4 linked regions of the Schizosaccharomyces pombe genome follow. Changing the gene in region 1 together with any one later gene gives a genetic interaction. Each region holds a gene or a part of one and is shown in the gene's direction. Other genes may lie near its edges.

What was found.
Region 2: mutations in sfp1 (region 1) and ath1 together harm fitness less than expected from each alone (positive genetic interaction), as found in Schizosaccharomyces pombe (one large-scale study listed by BioGRID).
Region 3: mutations in sfp1 (region 1) and pfd4 together harm fitness less than expected from each alone (positive genetic interaction), as found in Schizosaccharomyces pombe (one large-scale study listed by BioGRID).
Region 4: mutations in sfp1 (region 1) and are2 together harm fitness more than expected from each alone (negative genetic interaction), as found in Schizosaccharomyces pombe (one large-scale study listed by BioGRID).

What each region holds. Positions count from the first base shown.
Region 1 is NC_003424.3:4,431,157-4,437,099, reverse strand, and holds sfp1 (transcription factor Sfp1), read left to right. Parts: upstream 1-2,586; 5' UTR 2,587-3,467; coding exon 3,468-4,796; 3' UTR 4,797-5,231; downstream 5,232-5,943. Other genes in the region: SPOM_SPAC9E9.02 (uncharacterized protein), read left to right, coding at 1,187-1,483; SPOM_SPAC9E9.01 (uncharacterized protein), read right to left, coding at 1,899-2,161, 2,203-2,239; tRNA dihydrouridine synthase Dus3, read right to left, coding at 5,515-5,943.
Region 2 is NC_003423.3:1,664,472-1,670,440, forward strand, and holds ath1 (ataxin-2-like protein), read left to right. Parts: upstream 1-2,488; 5' UTR 2,489-2,587; coding exon 2,588-4,963; 3' UTR 4,964-5,247; downstream 5,248-5,969. Other genes in the region: vacuolar transporter chaperone (VTC) complex, GTPase regulator subunit Nrf1, read left to right, coding at 111-479; SPOM_SPBC21B10.15 (uncharacterized protein), read right to left, coding at 1,151-1,278, 1,392-1,446; SPOM_SPBC21B10.02 (uncharacterized protein), read right to left, coding at 5,248-5,673. UniProt on the Schizosaccharomyces pombe protein: Involved in post-transcriptional regulation of gene expression, probably by association with mkt1.
Region 3 is NC_003424.3:503,368-507,178, forward strand, and holds pfd4 (prefoldin subunit 4), read left to right. Parts: upstream 1-2,541; 5' UTR 2,542-2,616; coding exon 2,617-2,988; downstream 2,989-3,811. Other genes in the region: yea6 (NAD+ transporter), read right to left, coding at 1-726; atg10 (autophagy C terminal domain family protein), read left to right, coding at 1,686-2,225; yip5 (Rab GTPase-binding protein), read left to right, coding at 3,176-3,811.
Region 4 is NC_003421.2:2,397,239-2,402,750, reverse strand, and holds are2 (acyl-coA-sterol acyltransferase Are2), read left to right. Parts: upstream 1-1,932; 5' UTR 1,933-2,377; coding exon 2,378-3,796; 3' UTR 3,797-4,412; downstream 4,413-5,512. Other genes in the region: AP-1 adaptor complex gamma subunit Apl4, read right to left, coding at 1-684; protein Pal1, read left to right, coding at 4,603-4,767, 5,014-5,512. UniProt on the Schizosaccharomyces pombe protein: Sterol O-acyltransferase that catalyzes the formation of stery esters.

The sequences.
Region 1 (5,943 bases):
AACTAAACAAATAATACCCAATTCAACCCCTCTCCCGAAAACATCCAATTTGAGTAGATGATATACGTAAAAGGCATTTGAAGCCGTTAGTTAATTCAGAAACATTGAATTGTGTGTACAACGTTAGAAGAGATGATTGATTAAGTTTATGAAATAATACTTGCTCCAAACCTTGGTCAATGTACCACGTTATAATACGAAACGTTCCCTTAAACGTCACATTACTTCCATGTATGCGCTTCCGAATTCCCTTCCATTTGACTACGTCAAACAACACTGATTCTCTAAAATGAGTGTCCATTTTTTGACGATCGGGACGGCAGATCGTTTTTGTACATTGTGTGTAGGCGGGCAAAGCTTCGAAACTTGGACTAAACGATTGTTATTACCGGTACTGTTAAGTTACGTAAATTGTTGGTCAGGTAAACGGTTTGTACTAGACGGATGGAATTTGGAAAAGTTGGATAAAACACGGCAATGTTGATTATTTTAACGGTGTTTTGCGATACAGTCTTGCAATTCTTATTTGTCATAATAGATGCATAGCAATTGGCTCAATTTCAATTTCAATTTTACTTATTTTTTTTTTCTTTAAAGAATACCTTCGGGAATTGGTTGCGTATAGGAAGAATTGAATCTGTCTCACTTGAATTGTATGCGACAATGTCGTTTTGATGTTGTTGACCCATACTCTCTTGACACTTGTTTACTAATGTCATTTTTTCATTTTTTTCTCATAGACGATAGATTACTCCTTGGGATGTATGAATTTCTTTATCGTTTTCTTCAATTATTAATCCTATCAAATTGTCTGTAGTTTTTCATTCATGAACCAAGTCAGAATCACTTTTATCTTGGTCCTTGTTCATATCCCTTCGCTTGCCATAGCGCCAGCGCCCTTGACATCATGGTAGAGTGTGTTTGATATAGAAGCATCATAAACTATCCAATGGCCAGAACCCTAGAAGATTGCTGAGAAATGTAATTAAAACGTTGTAAATTCATTGCCTTTGGTATTGAGTGTGATGCCTGCGAATTTCATCTTTTCAACTACTGACCTAAGTGTGGTGGATATGTGGACAAATGATGGGATTGTTAAATAATGAAAATGATGCTTAAGAGTTTCTGGAAGAAAACGAAGAATTGATAGATTGGACATTTGACGTTGACTTTCCATTTCTATATAATGGATGTGGATTTCGCTAATGCCAAACACAAACTGCATTGTTTATTAAAAAAAAATTTCCTCTTAACGATTCGATTCAGTTCATTGGTTTCAATACAATACATCCCATTCTCCAATCGTTTGTATGAAATCATCAGTATTGCTCTAAATCCTTGCAATTTTTCTAAAAGTCTTTTTTGGTTACGAAAAAAAATAAAAAACTCCGTTCTGTTAAAAACTTCCTTTGATTCTAACGAAACAATTTTTTTTTTATATTCTCTTCATCGTTGTGTGTATTATCTTTTCATTTATCTGTGATAATACCGATTCTTTATTTATTTATTTACTTAGTTATATACTTGTTATTCCATTCTGTTCCTTTGTTAGTTACTGATCTTCACCTTACTTTCAATCATTTTCTTTTGGGTTGTTGTAAGGTTTATATATTTGGTTTATCTTGTACGATAGTTTGTTTTTTTCTTCATTCGCAAGCTATTCTATCTAGATATTTTTTTAGCTCCATTTCCTATAAGCTTTAGTTTTTCTTTTCCCTTTTCCCGTCTAATTTTTTCTTGTAAAATCGCTAGACGTCCATTTTCATTTTCTTGTTTGCTTGTCTTTTTACATCTCTTCCAAAAATATCCGTCTTCTCTTTACTAGCACAAAGAAGAGAAATATCCTTCCTCCATTTCAATTAAACGACGATATTTCTTTCATTTCATAGTCGTTTACTTTACCAATTAACCCTTGAAAGGACATTGTATCTCGCAAATTCCTTGAGTTTGCTTTCCCGGTAAATTTGGTATAACCGACAACGATCTTCATTGTCTGCCTCCATCCATTCCCCATTAGCTGCTTCACAACGTGACCAGACTGCGAACCCTGCCTCAAGTTTGATTACCGAACCAACATTTGAATCGCTAAACGTTTTTAGCCGCTTCGATTTTCCGAGAAACACATAAACAAAGATTGTGTGTGTTACTGTACCCGTGTGCACTTGACCGTATATTAGGACACTATAACGCTAAGCTGCGTACCGCTTAATTCTGCACTGAGCTCCAAGCCATCCGCCATCGTTCATTTGCGACCCTTTGTCTAGAAACTATTCGCCCCTTGTCTTCGGCCCCATCTATTGGAAGTAACGACCTTCCGATACGGCACTGACGAAGTTGCATTGTTACCCCTAATTACTTTGATCCAAGTTCGATCCACTCTGTGTACTCTGATTGGCTTTCTTATATTTAAGGGCCCCTCATTAGGTGTTTAAGTCTGAAAGCTTCACTGTTATTCGCTCGCATAGTCGGCGTCACTGTTACTTGACCCTTTTATCCTTGTTACCTTTATACATACGTAACGAGAAGGCTTGCTAAATCACCTTATCAATTACTACTTAAACACCGTCCTACCCTTCTTAACGCCTTATTCTGACTAACTTCAACGTGAGGACGACACGAAGGAAGCAGAAGCAAATATACTTACTTAACTTAAGGGAGTTAGTACAATCATAGAATTGTTGTTGAATACCATATATTCAACTTAAAAAAAATTAAACATATTTATAAAAAAAATTCGCTTGCAACATATATTGCGTCCACTAGTTGCCTGCAAAAAAAAGATTACTCTTTTGAAGTATCACCACTCTTTTCGATTGATCTCGATTGTTCATTGAATCAAAGCGTAAATTATTTACTATTTCGCTTTATTTTAAAAAAAAGTCGAATCGAACAGTTTCCTCGACTCGATTCGTTATTACTTGACTTTCTTTGTTGATTAAAAAGGATTCTTTAAAAGGTTTTTACTCCCTTTCTTTTCATCTTATTTATATTATACATTTATCATCCGTTAATCGCCAATTTGTTTAGACTGAAAAAATTAGATAAGTCACTTTGGGGTTTCCACTTAAAACATTACAATACACTAATTACACTTGGGTAATTTAGTGCTTAAAAATAGTTTACCTTCATTTTTTTGCTTGGTAAATTCTTCTTTTAGAAACTTTTTCCTTTTTTTTTCGAATTTATAGTTCGTCGAATTTCATTAGATTTTACATTCAGTCTTTTTTTAATTGCCTTTTTTTACCCCTCTCAGCGCTCTCTAAGAACTTGCCTTCCTTAAGTCGAGTTTTCTAAGTGCATTATTCCCTGATTTCTCAAAAAATAACTTACTAAATTATTTTGTTATTTTTATTCTATTTTTTCATCATTGGTATATAATTTTTAATTTGGTTTCTATTTATCGGTTTATCTTTTAATTTTCTCTTTTATCTCTTTAATTTTATTAATTCCCTTAAAAACTTTTCAATATGCCATCTCTCGCATTGCCTATCAATAAGCCTTCCCATCACAATGTCAACTACAACGGAAATTCCTTTAACAGCATTCATGCTACCTCTTTTGGAATGAGTCCACAGTCTTGGGGAAATAGCTTTAGTGGACAAGCTTGGCTTCGTGATACTATTCCATCTCTTTCTAACGTGGTTGAGTCACAAACGATTCCCGAAGAGGATTCTACCTCTTATCTAAACCGGTTAGAAGAAGCATTTTGCCGTGATTTCCGCTGCTGTGGTCAAACTCTCGAAGATTTGCATCAACTTATTCACCATTATGAAGAGCAGCACGCCGTTCTGGCAACTGATTCTGCTGTTCCTCAAGAATATTCTTTGGATAGCAACAACGCTGCTCAATCTAATCATTCTCATATTCAAGCGCTCAAACAGCGTGAGCGCATCCGTATGCATGATCTTGCTGATCAGCTTGGAACTTCTGAAATTTCTGATAATTCTGCTGTTTTACCATTTGCCTTTCCTGCTAACGGTGGTGCTCCTGGCCCTTACCGCGTTTCCGTTGTCGTACCTGCCGCTGCTGCTGCTGCTGCTGCCGCTGCCAGCTCCGACATGAGCAGTGACGAGGCCAGTAGTCAAGCAGAGACAACTGGTACCCCGAAAAAGATGCCTGAATCATTGGTAATGGATGCAAGCTCCCCTCTCAGTGACATGAGCATGTCTATTGACGTTGGTGAGTCCGCTGCCAATAATGTTTTTGCGTTCAATCAAAAGGACATGGTTGACTCTACATATCTTCCCCCATTCAATTACGATCACGATGTTTTTTCATTTGCTCCATCTGTCGCATCCGCCGATCAATTCACAGAGTCTAGCATGTCTCCTACTCCTGAAGTAGTTTCACCCGCAGCCACAAACTCAGCAATCTCATCCCCATTTGTTAGGAAATCTTCTAGTGATTTGGAAGCTAAGCCATCTAAAAAGCAGCGTTCTACTCCTGCATTCTCACACGATTCACCGCTCACTATTGATTACCCAGGCTCTAACTTGGTGGTTGTAGACAAGCCATACAAATGCCCTGTCCCTAATTGTGATAAGGCTTATAAGAATCAAAATGGTTTGAAGTATCACAAACTTCATGGACACTGTTCCCCCATTACTACTCCAACACCAGCTCCAATTCCTCATCAAGGGTTTGTTGTGGAAAACAAGCCTTATCGCTGTGAAGTTTGTAGTAAAAGATATAAAAACTTAAACGGTTTGAAATATCATCGTACACATAGTCATCTACAAGTGTCTATGGCCCAAGCTCAACGGGAAGTTCAAATGAACTTTATGCGCACCGCATAAATATGCTCTTTTTTGCCTTTGTAATATTTGAACATGAGATTTGTATCTCAGTTTCGTATCTTCAAGTTTGAATACTTTTATGTCTATCTTTGCTTTTAAGTTTGAGAAGGGTAGACATGTTGTGTGGAGTTTGCTTGATGTTTACGGGCTTGCATTTATCTGCATACAACAATCGAATTAGCTGTAAAGTGAACCTGTCTCCTTTGATTCATTCCCGTTAATTTTGCACTTACTTTATTACCTACATGATGGCTGTGTTTGTTTTGTTTGCTTTTTTTTTGTTTTTTAATTTTTTGTTTTGTCATTTTGGGATTCTGGATTTTTAATGGTTTTTATTGTGTATTAAGTTATTTTTGTACCAAATATCCTCTTGCTGTTATTATTATACCTTTTAAGTTAATAAATATGTATGGCAGTGTTATTTACCATATATTTGCTAAGTTATTTCACAACGTAGTTTCGATAGTAATTGTAGAGTACTGTAAGATCGTTGGTTAGTTCCCATTGGGTAAGTTGACTATATAACGTTAGATTCATTACCAATTTGCCTAGTCATTTGCGCATTTTACGAGACAAACACAGATCACTCGTATATAAGTCACCAGATATTTTATTAATCTACTTAATTCAATCCAGATGATAAGCCAGTATTAAGTATGAAAAGTTGATGATGCATATGAAGAAAGTGAATGCTCGATACACTAAGACCATAAGTTGTTTATCCCTCTGCCTCTTCCACACTATTGCTTTTGTGCTTTGGTGTAAAGGTGAATCGCTCAGGAGTAGGACCTAGGAAGAACTCACTCAATTTAACCCAGTCCGTAACTTTATTACTGGCCAAGAGAGTTTCCATCTCATCTCTCGCGGTATATAGAGGCGGTCTATCATTTAATCTGGGCCTTTGAACTTCGTACAAAGCTATAGGTGTATAACGATGGAAAAAGCTCATAAACTCCAAGAAAAATCTCCTAGTCGTATTGACTCCTTGAGAGTCAGAACCCCAATACTCTAAACCATTATTACAGTATTGTTCCAACATTTCGAGTCGTTGAGTTGATGACTTATCAATAAACTGACGAGCTTCAATTTCTTCAAAAATCCATGGCTTAACGAGTGCACCTCGGGCAATCATCACAGTATCAACACC
Region 2 (5,969 bases), on another chromosome or scaffold:
TTTCTAGGCCGTTCGACACAGCTGACCTTAACCACAACTCACAGCCAGCACATACTTAATCTCGCGAGGAGAAAAAACCTTCGATTTATAGCTCACTCTTTCCACTAACAATGTCTACTCAACCTCTTTTACAAACTACTCCTGGTAAAAGAATTGCTCTTCCTGTTCGTGTTGAACCTAAAGTTTTTTTCGCTAATGAACGTACTTTCCTTTCTTGGTTGAGCTTTGCAGTAGTTTTGGGTGGTTTGTCAGTTGGTTTACTTAACTTTGGTGATCGAATTGGTAAGATTAGTGCAGGACTTTTCACTATTGTTGCTATTGGTACCATGGGTTATGCTCTTGGTATTTACCACTGGAGAGCATCTGCTATTCGACGACGCGGAAGTGGTCCTTACGATGATCGATTGGGACCTACCATTCTCTGCTTTGTTTTGTTGGCAGCTATTATAACCAACTTTGTTCTTCGTATGTTATTTTGAAAGGATTAAGTCCATTTTTTGGAGATTTTTTCGCGATATTTCAGCCTTATCGTCTGAGCATAACTTCACAAATATGAAAATGAGGATTCCTTACTCTCCATTCCAAGTTTTTAAGCTTAGTGTTTGATAGGCTTAAGTTCTTTTAAACATATATTTTAGATTATCAATTTATTTAGTTTCCTCGTAACATGTAAAGTTTTTACATTATCTGACAATCTTTATTGAAGGCTGCAAAGATGAAAGGCCCTGGAAACGTTATGACACTGAATTGAAAGATTATTTTTTTAATGCCTGGAAAGTGATTTTTTTTTTCAGTAGGTCGTTACGGAACCCCCCTTATCATTTATCTGTTGTTTCCTTACATTTGTTTTGCTTCCTTGAGCGTCGCTTGTTAACGCAGGAGGAGAGAAATACTAGTTTATTATTTATAACTTATTCTACATATTGTTGGATTAATATGTCTCGCTTTGTTATATAATGGCTCCGGTTTAAGGCTTTATTTTATTTTATTTTATTTTAATTTTTAATTACTCAGCGTTTTTATTATATAGTGTTATTTTTGGGATTGCCGGAATTACTACATGGACTAGGAGGTTATTTTATTTAATATCTTTGCATCGCTGTCTGTGGACAGCTTTGACATTGGCGTCGAAATTATAGTAAATATTTCATTATTTGTTTTCTTTTGAAGATTTTGCATTTTCAAGCTGTTTCGCCTGTTCTTGCTTATACAATTTAAAGTACTCTCTTTTTTTATTATTTAAATCGTTTTTAAGCACTAGAAATGATATAGGGCCGACTGCGTGAGTTAGTGAAAAAAGCAATTATAGACAAAAATATATATATTAATTTATTCTCTTAAAGAACTTTGAAACCTGAATTACTTCAGTTTTATAGTATCAATAAACATACCAGTAATGAATATTCCAAAAAATGTGAGTAGTTGTCCTTTTAAGCTCATACCCATCGTGAAAAATTAAATTGTAGGATTCAAATACTGAAAGGTTATAATGCTTGCAATAAAATAGCTTTGAAAGGACGAAACCAAAACTTTCGACGTTTAATTGGGTTATTTGCTCACGAAGCCGGTTCAAGTGATATCTTCTTTTTGCAGCCCGATGTTAACTTCTGAAGTGTTAATAGTTAATGGTCACTAAGGTATCGTTATAATATGAAACAAAAACTGCAGTGTCTTGGAAAGAGAGTGGTTTAAAGGGGCTATAGAATTCTGATAGAACAAATTCAGAAGTTTAAACAAATATTGGTGTAAATGGGATTTTTAACTTATAAAATCTCGTAGTGTCCTTGGTTGTCTATTTTGACGTAAAATATGTGCCAGTTTTCAAGCCTTTTATTCTTAGTATACTAATCATTTGCAAATGAAAAGTGTTTTTTGTAAAGCATGTAAGCCGATAACCCTTGATTAAGGCCAATCTAAACTTTCCAAGCTACAAAGAATAAGTTTTTTTTGCGGTTGTAGGTTGCTTTTGAATCAATTAATGTCTAAAGTTTACTCAATTAAGAATTGCCTGTTCACTTTAACGGAATTTCCGTATTATGTATTGACCTTTGTCTTATTGTATTGTAGAATAAGTCATCCAGACATAGTACATGAATTGTAAAGCCATACATTGCTACATAAACTACAGCTTAATTCAAAAAATTGCATCTGTTATCGTAAAAAAAGCAAATAAAGCGTTTTGAATCAGTAAATTATCAACAGTACAATTGCTAATTTATCAATACATTCTGCGAAGAAAATAGAGTATGACCGCATTTGCCACCTGCAGCCTTTGGGTGGTTAGTGCTCTGCAAAGTAACTGAATCTATATGAAAAAAAAAGGTACGAACCTGAAAATATATTATGCTACGACTTTGAAATTTAAAATTAAAAAAATTCAATTATTAGGAATGGTAGCATTCATTTGATTTCCTCTATGGTGTAAGCCTGGTGTCATGCGCCATTCGCCCAGTTACCTAAAGGTTACACTTCACTTTTAGTTGCTTCTACCTCCAACCTCCACGGAATTACTCAAATTTCAGTTGGGCACTGGGAGGTTGCAAATCGAGAAATTGCAAGAGTATCTGAGGACACTCAAGTAATTCTGATGGCAACCCGTTCTGTCAGCATGAAACAGACCTCGCAACGCGCTGCCAGCCCTAATAAAACTCAGGGTGCCAAAAAATGGTCAGCAGTTGCTGCTAGAGGAAGCAAAATTGCTCAGTCTGCTACGAATGATCATCGTAATGTAGAATCTATTAAAGTAGTACCTGAAAATAGAGTCAGAGGGGGAGTTGCTGCTAAAGCCACCGACTCATCTTCCAACGTTACCTCGTTGGCCTCTTCCGAGGAAAATGTTTCGAGTGTTTCTGGTTCTGCGAAATCAAATAATTCTCAGCAAAGAGTTTGGAAAACAGATGTAGCTATTTCAGCAGAAAAGCGCACTGAAACTCGTCAACGAGAACTCCGTCGCTGGATGCCAGATCCGGAAGATGCAGGTGTTCCTCTAGCTGGTTTAGAGGAGTCTACTGATAATGTTGAATGGGATCAATTTGCTACAAATGAAAAACTTTTCGGTGTGAAATCTCATTTTGATGAAGATTTGTATACTTCTCGTATCGATCGAAGTCATCCAAAATACAAAGAGAAAGAGCAAGAAGCTGATCGTATAGCGAAAGAAATTGAAGGTACCGTAACCAACAACATTCATATTGCTGAAGAGCGTGGTCTTAAAGTTGATGATAGTGGACTTGATGAAGAGGACCTTTATTCTGGCGTTCATCGTTCTATCGATGTTGTTAGGAACTACACCCGCAGTAATGCGTACAACAAGAACAACAAAGATCAAAAACCTAAGAACCATGAAGCCCCTCATCAACATCCACAGCAGAAAGTAGTTCCTCCTGATGATCCAGCAATTGTGTCTCACCGTCACCTTGCTTTGCCTCGCGCACCTGGTCCAGATTCTCGAGCAGCTGAAAGGTTTTTCAACGCCCGCCGTAAGGCTGGTCCTCTCTCCAGACGTGAAAAGGAAGGACAGATTAAAGAGTTTATGCAGTTTAGCCAATCTTTAAAAATAGGTTCGCTGGATTCCAAACAACCTTCTTCTACGAAATCTGTTGCTGAAGTTAAAGTGGCTGATGAAAAACAGCTTCCTGATGCTTCCAGCCAGGCAACTCCGGCGGATTCGAAAGAACCACGAAAGGAGGAAGCTGAAAAACCAGTTACATCTGCTACGGAGGTGTCTTCCGAAAAGGTTGAAAAGGTTGATGGAAATACATCTTCTCCTTCAAAAGAAGAGGAAAAACCATCAACTGAACCCGAAAAGCCCTCTGTTGTTACACAGAGAAAGGAAACCACAGGTACAAAGCTGGGCACGAAGTTGAATGCTAAGGCTATATCTTTTAAGCCGAATGTAGCTGCTCCTGTGTTTACACCTGGTAAATTTACTATCCCCAGTAAACCCGCACCTGTTAATGCTTCACGTCCGATGATGCCTCAGCAGTCCAACAACAGTGAAGCTTCGATTCCTTCAACCACACCACAATCACCTTCAGTGGTTTCCAATGGTGAAAACAAACCTTCTTCCTCTCCTGTTTTCTTCAACGGTCCTGTTTCATCGGAGAAGGAACCCATCTTAGATAACTTTAATGTTTTTAAAAACGTTGGAGAAGAACACCAAGGAGCGGAGCAGATTGATAAGCCTTTTTCATGTCCCCCGACTTGGAACACGGGACCCAACTCCCTACAGCAAACCATTGCAAATTCAAGACCTGAAGGAAATTCTGGTTCTGCAAAGAAGGCAGCAGCTGCGAATCCCATGATTCCTAGTATTGTTTTACCCAATAGTGCTATGCCTTCTGCAATGCCAATGTATCCTACTCCTACAATGCCATATATACCAGTGGGATATCCTGTGCCGGGCTATACTCCTTACATGAGAAACCCTAGTCAGCATACCTCTGTAGCTCCTTCACCTAACGGAACACCGACTTCTGGAAATTCTAGCACAGTAGGTTCGCCAATGATAGGCTACATGGCTCCCCAATTCATTCCGCCTTACGCAATGCCACAGTTTCCTCCTTCTGGTAACGGTAGGGGCGCTTCAGCTCCTGCAACTTATTTTGTTCCCCAAATGGGAGGCATGATGGCATACACAATGAATGGCGTTCCTCCTATGTATGGCCAGTATGCTCCTAATAATGGCATGATGAATATGCATTATCCTATGTATGGTGATTCAAGAAGGAGCAATTCTCAACGATCTTTCAATTCATCTAACGGGAAGCGATCGAATGTACATAAGAATAACAACGCTTCTAACACCTTCTCTCATTCTAATGCCTCTACTTCCTCGTCTCTTAATGCTGCTCCTAATACAACTGCAAAGTCTTCATCTCAAACGGCGCCTCCCGTTTCTAAAGGTGATGCTACAGAGAAAACAGAGAAAGATGCATCAGCTAACCAAGAAGCGAAGCCTTAATTTGTTTATATTTAAGGTTGACTTGAAGACCATGTAATATCTAAATCGCAAATCTTGTATGGATGTATGAATATTCTATGAGATGAAATGAAGGCGGTAAGAATCATGATTTTGTGAGTTGGTTTAGTTGGTTGTTTCAATTCAAGTGCTGAACTTACATTTGAGAAGTTACAACTTATTCTTTTTCGATTACATTAACCTATGATAATAAAACTTACGACTTAAAGAAACATTTATTGAATGCGGATTGTTAGTCTTCTGCTATAAAAAAAAACATTAGCCAGTTAAGTATATATGCCTACCGTAGCAACTCCAAACCACTTATTGTCATTCAAATGGGCAAGTACATAATATACAGTTTTAGTAGATGATTCTTCATAAGAAAAGTAATGGATGTCCTTTGACCCACTTGATTGCTCAATTGCATGAATTACTTTTTTGTACTTCTGATGGGGATCAAAGGTCTTTGCATCAATCTCTTCAAATTCGTCAGGGATATTGTCAATGCATATTGGGTGAAATTTTTCATCTGATTCACTGACAAAGTATTCATCCTTAACTTTCCCAGCTAAAGTTTTAAATGAGGGATCCTCCAACATATTCTTTGAGCTTCTCAGCCATTTTGAAGGAAGTTGGGAAGAGTCGCCCGAATAAGAAGGAACAGGTTTGTTAGCTGTTTCCAGAAATGCTGCATAAGCTTCGTCTGACATTTTGTGAGAAGAACGAACAAGTGTAGGCAAAGCCGTGTGTCGTACAACGAATCGAGGCAAATGCCTATTGATAAACAATCTTCTAACTGTGAATCCTATTTTGTATAATTATTTAATATATAATTAAAAAACAAAAATATGTTAAAGAATAAGTGTTAATCAACTTTAGGTCAACGTCAGCGAAACCAATCTTCGAGCAAATATAACGAAAAACACGTTATGTAAATTACCGTAACTCAAAGAATCCAATATATACTAAACGATGCATAATGTGTAGTTTACAACTGTTTTAAACT
Region 3 (3,811 bases), 3.9 Mb from region 1:
TTTATAAATTTTTCGAAATGCGTCAAATGTGTTGTTGTATGCAGGTGAACATGCAGGGCCTGTGGGAGGATTCACTGGATGCTGTGATGGAGAAGATTTGACATTCGTCCTACGCTTGAGCCAAAAGCGAGGCATTCTCCATTTGACGGATGGTGCGTCCGTTTGAAGATTACGAAACTGGACGGTTGTAGCCGCAGCAATTTTATCTACAAAAGAAGAAGCCCTAGGATGTGATTGAGTGACTAACCTTGTTTTTACAACCCAAATGGGGTTAGTAAGAGTGACACTTGCAGCACCGGCGATAACCGCAGAAAAGATTTGACCACCCCAGTAACGATAAAATTGTTTGTCAGAACTATCTAAGGAAGCCTTGATGCCAACCTTGGACGAATCAATTTCGTGGAGAGAAGTGTATTTTTTATTTACCCCAAATAGCACTTTGCATTTTTCATAGACTACAAAATAAATGGACCAACTAGGAAGATAACCTAACATCATGGGTCCAACACCTCTATAAAGACCGGCGATGCCTTCATTGTGAAAAATTGTTCGCATCGAACTGAGGGTCCCACCCAAAACCATTGTATTTTTTCCACCACCAGTTGAATAAAAAGCCTTTTGTGCCTGCTTTCTTGTTTTTACTACATCTAAAGGTGCCACTACAAGAGAAGAGGCCAATCCAGCAGCTCCTCCTGCTATAGCATCCTTTAGAGAATCATCAACCATAAAGACGGATCAATTTCCTGATGATAATGCATGCATCTAAAGAAAACAGCAATTAAATAATAGACCTTGACAAATTCTTTACTTTTTTAGACGCTGATAAGAACGATCCAACGCCTTACGATGTTTCAAATTGGAAATGTATATATATTTTAGCGTTGATGTAAGAAGCTGTACAACAACATATATGTAAGTAAAGTGTTTGGCAGCCGTCAATAAGAAAGTCGAATCACTGTGCGGTAAACCACATTAACGACATGAATGTCTCCGAATTACTAATTGAGAGGACGTTCCATGCCCTTAAAAGAGAATTTCTTTTATATGTGCATATCAGATATGATTAAAGTCGTAATGCCCATTAACAATATATAATGGTGACATTGATGTTGCTAACAGCTTTACACACATATCTCAATTTTACTTCACAGATCAGTTGGCTTTATAAGCACCATTGGAACAGTGCTTTTGCTTTTGCTTTTGCTCGTATAAGTATTAAGAGGAAATTACTAATATAAAACCTTAGTTTTTCATTTTTTTCCAAGTCCAAACATATTGTTTTTATACATTAGCTTCTCTTGATTACCGCCAATTTCTAGTCGAAAAAATTATTTTTTTAAGAAATCCTACATTTGCTGAGAAGAAATGTTGAAAACGTAGTAACTACACAGTGTACCACTATATTGTTGGATAACTTTGTAAACTCCAACGTACTGTTTTGTCATACTCTTATTGTCAACTTTAGAAGCAAGATGTAGAATTAATATACTTGTAAATAACTGAAACACCATTTTTGTCGAGACTTAACTTCAAATATATTGACAGGTGATTGCCTCTATTGCCCTCATTGGAATAGTGCGTTGAACAATCAGACTGTAGCCAGGCTTATGGGACAATAATTCCTTCTTCAATTACTTATTGCTTTAGCAAAGATAAAGTGATTAAATTGGCTAACCGTGACAATAATGAGCTTTAAGTCTCAATTACTTATCCTTGCTCAGAAGCTGTCGAAAGGTGGTATTTCTTGTGAGTTGATTGAGTTTGATGAGTGTATTTTGAAGTTAGAATGGCATACTGAGCTACTTGATAAAAATGATTCCTTATTATACGAGCAGGAAGAAGATGATATTTTAAGCCTTATGAATCCAATGATCACTATGCACGCCTGGATTAGGGATTCTCCATCCTTCGAAGTCCCGCAGTTCTTCTTTCAACCTTATGCAAACGGATCAGATCCTCTTACCAAGATGGAACAGATTTTTGAGTTATTAGAAGGATCCAGTCAAAATTTAGCATATGACGCTCTTGCTATTGGGGACTGTCCAGGTACAGTAGGCATAGCATGGTATATCCATCCATGTCGTACGCGTGATTATTTCGAAATGCTTCAGATAGACAAAGAGGATCCCAAGTATCTCTCTCTTTGGTTGCTATATATTCATCAAGTCCTTTCTCCGCTAACTCAGCCTATAATAAAAGCAGTTGACGATGCCGAAAAATCCTAAAGATAACCTGTTATAAACGGGTATGCTTGCTAAGACTTTGTCTTATTAAATATTATTCCCCATGATTAAAACTAAATTAAAAGTCAATTTAATCCGTATTCTCTGGTTTTAGTTTATAATACCCTGTGAATCTATAGTAAAATTTTGACCTGTTATTTGACAGCAAAAACATTACGGATCTGAAGACCTCAATTGTAGAAAATAGCTTTTGTTCTTTAAATTTGTAGATAAAATACTATACTAATTAATAATCCTTCTGTTTTGACATATCATTCAACTGTTCCACTTAAACCTCTACTTGACCGCATTGATCTCTACACCAACAATTGTTTGTTAAGACAAACGAAACCGGGTTATATACTATTCCTCCTAACACACCTTAGCAACAAATATGGAACAAGTTCCTGTTCTAGCAGAAGATCAAAGGAATTTAAATGAATTTTCAGTGTTGCATTCTCGAAAGGCCATTCAAGAACTTGATATTAAGAATTTAAAAACGCAAATAGAGGATATTGTTGACGCTAAAAATGAATGTGAATTACTAGACGAGGATGATGGAGACGATATTCCAGCTTTAAAGGTTGGCGATGCCTTTTTCCAAGTTTCCCTTCCTGTACTCCTTGACCAGCTTGAGCAGTCAGAAGAAAGTTTGGAAAAGCAAGTCGACGTATTAAGATCTTCCATGGAAAAAGACGAAACCCGCATTCAAGAGTTGAAATCAATGCTGTACTCTAAATTTCACGATCAAATTAACCTAGACTAAGATTTGGAAAAAGCAGCAAATCTCAAAATTAGAAGCTTCATCTTATTTTTCTGAATTAGTTTCTTTAATTAAATAACATTTCATGCATTTAAATTTATTCACAATACCAAATCTGTATGCAATTAGCGCCTCCAATAAGTAAACTTCTTTGTTCACCCTAAGCCATTACAAGTATCCAACCACCACTATGGCACATGAGATTGAAATTGACTCGGAAGCTGACCTAGGTCGTACAACATTTGAGGCTGAAGACCTTTATAAGCAGAGAACTCCCATTACAAAGCCTCCGGCCCCTAGATTACAATCTCGTCGCGCATCCATGCAAGAGACGCCATGGACCATCAAAGATTCATTTAACGTGGAAACTAAAGATGTGGTTCAACGATGTATACATACTCTTATTCCCACTGTAAATTTCTTTGATGTTGTAGATGATCGTCCCGATTTATACGGTCCTTTTTGGATAACCACTACGGTTATACAGGCTCTATTCTTTTCCAACTCAATTACCGAATACGCTCGTTATGCCACAGGGCATGGTACAAGTGGCTATTCTATAAAAAAGTTGATCTCTGCAGCATCAATTATTTATGGTTACACTACCATTATCGCCGTTTTGTTATGGGGTATCCTAGTGTGGAACAAATGCAACCCTAAGTTACTCGACTGTCTGTGTTTATATGGATATGCTAACATTGTTTGGCTTCCCGTTTCTTTAGCAACTCCTCCGTTTGGATTGCTATCTACTTTGGCCTCCCATATTGTCAAATATGTACTTACAGGGATTGGTTTGTTAATTTCCATTGTGTTTTTAACTAGAAAT
Region 4 (5,512 bases), on another chromosome or scaffold:
ACTAGTGGACAATTGACGAATACGATAAATCAAATCGTCAGCTTGACTTTCAAATCGGGATATTAGCGACGGATTTATTTTGCAAGCACTGATGGCAAAAGCAAGAGCAGCCATTAAAACACCATGACTTTTTGAATGTAACAATTCATCGGTTTTCTCAATATATAAACTTTCCAAATCCGGTTCTTTTTGAATTACTCTAAGTGCACAGAGAACAGCCTTCTTTGATATATAATTATGATGGTTAGAGCAAAGTTCGGCTATGTCGTTTGACAAATCCCTTGCAAGCTCAGGGCCAGCGACATTACCAAACGCAGATAATGCCAACCCCACAATAAATTTGTCTCTAGATTTCAAGTCATTTTGAAGAGAATTTGTCAATAACGTCAAAACTTCCTGGTTCTCGTCTAACAGAAGCATAGCTGCTAGGTATCCCAAACGTTTATCCATGAATCGCGAACTCGACAACAATTTTAAACATTCAATCTGACCAAAGTGTGTCGGCTCACCGAGTAGAAATAAATATAGCAGCTTGGCAACATTTTTTCTGCGCATACGCATGTCATTAGAACCTTGACGAATGTTTTTTCTGATTTGAGCCGACTCTTTGAGAATCGTTGTGTGCTCCTCAGCAGTCGTTTTGGATGCCCGAACAGCCTTTATAAAAGATTTTAAACTTGACATCTTTGGATGCGTCTTTGGGGAATTGGTGAAACCTCTTTCCACTCCCGAACAAGTAAGATGCAGGTTCTTTGGATGTGTTGTTTGCATTACTTGGCTGTTGCTTGTACATGCGGTAGGGTATTGCACGGTAAATTTCTTTAAAACGAATTTAACGTTGCGACTCTTTCGTCAATCTATCAATAATGAATACTAAAAAATATGCTTTAAATAAAATAAATTTTAATTTGTTTTGTTGCTGCTGTGTTACGTTAAGTCAGCTGAAGTGTCTTTTTTTATAATTCCTAGTTTTTATTAAGCAGATGTAAATACCATTTATATTGATTAACTTAATATTATGTTACCACTTATTGCAAGTACATTTAAGAAGGTGTACTATGGCTAAGAGTTGAATATTTTTTAGGTATGGTTTTTGTGCTTTTCAGTAATCATATTACGTTTAATACACATTCCCTTATTAGAGGTTCTTAATAAAATCCATGTGCAATACTAAAGTTATCTTTCCATCCGTACCAATATTCACTGAGATATTTTACGTTCCTACTATAATTGATTCCAGTAAATATTAACTTGCATTTCTATGAGATGTATTGAAAGCAAACAGAAAAACGCAATCTAAACACAGAATATATAAAACAATGAAAATCAAATCAATTTCACTTAACAAAATAGGATGCAGCTTTAAACGACGCTCAAAACTGATGCATTCACCAATACTGCACAAATTAAAAGAATACCTAGCTTCCTTTGGTTATCTGTGTAATTTTTGAATTATCCTATCGAATTTGCTATATGGAGTTGTTAATTGATGGGCAATATCTGGAATTTATGTTTCTCTATTCGTTCTTGACCACGCTATGTGGCTTTGCTTCTTAACTATGCAGTTTGTAACCAGTTTTAATGGCACGTTAAATCACAGTGAGTTGTATTTGTGCACTACTATATTGCGATATGCAGGTAACGCGAAAATCGGGTATTAAGGTGTTATTGTAAATTATTATTGAAATGCTCATAATATGTAAACTAAGGGAAAAAGGTTCGATTGAGCATTCTTTTTTGTTTGTACCTGTCAGTCATTTGGTAATAAGCTACAATAAGCAAGTGCCAATGTCGTATCACATATAGCGGATAAATGAATAGGACATGTGATATATAGTGATACGTAACGAAATTTTACATAACGTGGTGTAGTATTGCAGATATTGCTGAGATCAGGTGGTTCATCGTCTTAGCTCGCAATTCTAACTTATCAACTCCTTTGCTCATTTTGAAACTGGAGACTTGGCTTTTCCTTACATAAATCGCATAGAACGTGAATTGCTTAGGAGTTCGAGCTTTTTATTTACTTCCATTCTATAGTGGAACATTTGGCATAGAATTTTTATTTTTGGAATCACGACTGTGGAGTTTTCGTCATACCAGTTCTGTCATCTTGAAATTCCAAGTTGGAACTTCCATCAATAGATTACATTTCTAAGTTTCTTGCTTTCATTCCTCAATTTTTTATTTAGAAGCGAAGCAAAAAATAAATTTAATCTTCCTACGTTCATATCCGCTTCTTTTTCAATTTCTTTGATACTGTTCGCGATACGTAGCTGCTGATTTTACGTTATTTTTTTGTTTTATCTTTTTCTTTATATATTTATCTTTTTTGTTATATATTCACTTAGTTGCTTTAATTGCTGGTTATTTAAAGATGATTGCTGCAACACCCGCTAAATCCAAACCATCGGATGTCAACTTGGAACAGACGTTCAAAGGTGTTTCTGAAACCTCAAAAATTGACCTTCGAAGGTCTAGGGCCGCTTACCGACCTCTGGAATTATCTCCTACTCCCTCGATTTTTGCTCGTAATTATCAACGTAATGCGGTAGACTTTACTGGATTTTTTGTGTTATTTTGGGTTGCTGTCTCTATTATGATTTTCATGAGCTTTTTAGAAAATTTCGAATTGACTGGAAGACCAGTTGTTGGCACTATTTTTAAATACTTTCAGTCTAATTTGTTAGATCTGGCAAAGGCAGACCTTGCTATGTCTTCAATGTTTCTACTTGCTTTTCCTTTCCAAAAGATTTTTGCTTTGGGATATCTGCGGTGGTATGGTTTAGGCGTTTACCTCTATTCCATTCTTATTTTACTTTTTTTAAGCCATTGTGTTTTACGCTGCTGTCTTAGCAACTGGTCCTGGACGCATCGTGCTATGTTTATTCTTCATTCTATGGTAATCCTTATGAAGCTTCATTCCTATAACGTTGTCAACGGTTGGTATTCTTATTGTTATCATTCGTTAAATAAGCTTCAGTCAAAAAAAACCGATCTTGATGATGATGAACGATCCTCAGTTGAGTTTTATGAACATTGTCTCAACCATCATGGTAATACTTATCCGGAAAATTTAACCATACCAAATGCTTTGGATTTCCTTTTCATGCCCAGCTTATGTTATCAATTATACTACCCAAGAACCGCCCATGTGCGAATTCATTATTTGATTGAATGCGCTTTGGGAACGTTTGGTTGTATCTTTCTTTTGGTCATTATTTCTGATCATTTCATGGTTCCTGTACTTGCTAAAGCCATTCGAACCATTATTGAAGCTCCTGAAGACGCATCTGCTACTTATTTTGCTATACGTTTAGGCCATACTGTAGCATTTTTGATGTTCCCATTTATGCTTAGCTTCCTCCTCGTGTTCTGGGTCATTTTTGAAGGAGTTTGTAATTTCAGCGCAGAGATTACTAGATTTGCCGATAGAAACTTTTATGATGATTGGTGGAATTGCTGGACTTGGGATCAATTTGCCCGAACCTGGAATAAGCCCGTTCATTACTTTCTCCTTCGCCACGTTTATGTTCCCCTCAACTCTTTCATGTCAAAGTCTTTATCGACTTTTTTCACGTTCTTTGTCTCCTCTGTATTACATGAACTTGTTATGGGATGTATCACTTTAAAAATCCGCGGTTACGGTTTGTTTTTTCAAATGACTCAAATCCCGTATATCATTATTCAGCGACAGAAGTTTGTTCGAAGACATAGACTGCTGGGAAATATTGCGTTTTGGTTTTCTATCATAATTGGTATCGCTCTTATTGCAGCTCTTTATATCTTATTTTAGAAGCGATAGGGGTCTCCATTATGAATAATTACCTCTTAGATTTTTTTTACAATGCGTTATTTTTTCTAGTGACTATTTCTATCTTTGACACTTTTTGTGGCTCATTTCATCTGCCCAATAAGGGCTCCTTTATGACATTTTATGAATTGTTTTGTAATGCAAGTAGGAAATGCCATTTCTATTTGAACACGTCAAAAGGCTGCAGAGTAATTTTGGTAAAACTTAGTTTTTGTGCCTCTGTGGAACTTCCGTTTCATTTTGTGTCGGTTCATTTGCTTGTTTATGATAAAATGGAATCCTGATTAAATTAACGAATTAAAGAAATGGGTTTAAAACATTTTTTTCGTTGAAAATTATGTTAACCGATTTGTTGTTTACTTAAGATTTTTAACATTCACAGATGTTCGTTTAATTTTTAGCCAGATGATTGCTTTGATTAATAAGTTTCCTCATCTCGTATTTTCATTAACATAACCATCACTGTTATTAATCGAATTAATGTGTCTAATCGTCAGTGGTTAGGATATTCGATTTATTCAGTTTTCCCATTCTTAATAAATGTACTTTTCTGTCTTGCACAATAAAATTATTATAGCAAGAAACCTAGATAACGCAACCCAATGTGCAATAGCACTGTACAGTAAATTGCCTATAAGCAGGGGTAGATATTTTTACCACTGGAATCCCAACTCACCAAGAACCCATATCTTGTAGTTCGAAGTTTGATTCGGAAAAACCTCTTGTGTATTTCAAGGTGCTCTTTCTCAAAACGAAATCGCAAGGGTATCGTTTGGGTGCAATACGGGATGATGGTAATAGAGAACCCTTTTTTAAGTACTGCTACAAGCAGTCAGACACCTCAAGAGGATGGCGTGTACACGTCTTCCCTGCACAACAGTAACAATCCTTTTTTAGCTCCCAAGACAGAGCGTGTGGCTGATCCGGTCATGGAATCTATGGCAGATGACTTGGTATGTAAATTTTTGAGGCTGAAGTAGATATAATTCGGTCATTGCTTCGTTACGTGAAGATTTGTTAAATTTATTGAAACCTTTCCAAATTAGTGTTCTATTAAGAGTTTTTAAGTTTCTAATTTAAAGCGCTCATAACGTACATTTTATTTAGACAAGGAGTTTCTTCGGTTTGCAATGAAGTTGAGCCGAAAATCGAGCACAGCTTTCAATTTTAATATGTTTCAAAAACTAACATTTTACCAGTTTAATAGTATTCAAAAGAAGAAGGAGCCATCTCCTGCTTCCTCTGCTTCAGCAAGTCCCGTTAAAAAATCTGCGGAGGCATTAGCCGAACGATCTAACAGTTCGATGGGCACTTTTGACCCCCCTCCAAGATATTCGAAAATTGCTAGAGCTCGTAGTACTCATGTTGCCAGCTCTAGTCGCCATCGTTCTCCATCGCATAACGACAGTTCACCATCCACCCAATCCAGTTTGAAAAGCAGGGGTAGCATTCGACGCTACAAGTCTGTACGAGAGGGATCACATCGTCCTGGTCGGTCGTCAAAAGAACCATTAGATCAGATAGATCGTTTGGACGTAACAGGGCTTTATGGATCTGGTAGCTTTCATCACGATGGTCCTTTTGATGCTTGTCGACCTCATCGTAATCGAAATTCTAAGAAAGCACCTGTTGCCGCATTTCCAAAAGATAGTATTGCTAATTCCATTCCGAAAGTTGGGGAAACTTATAATGACCCTT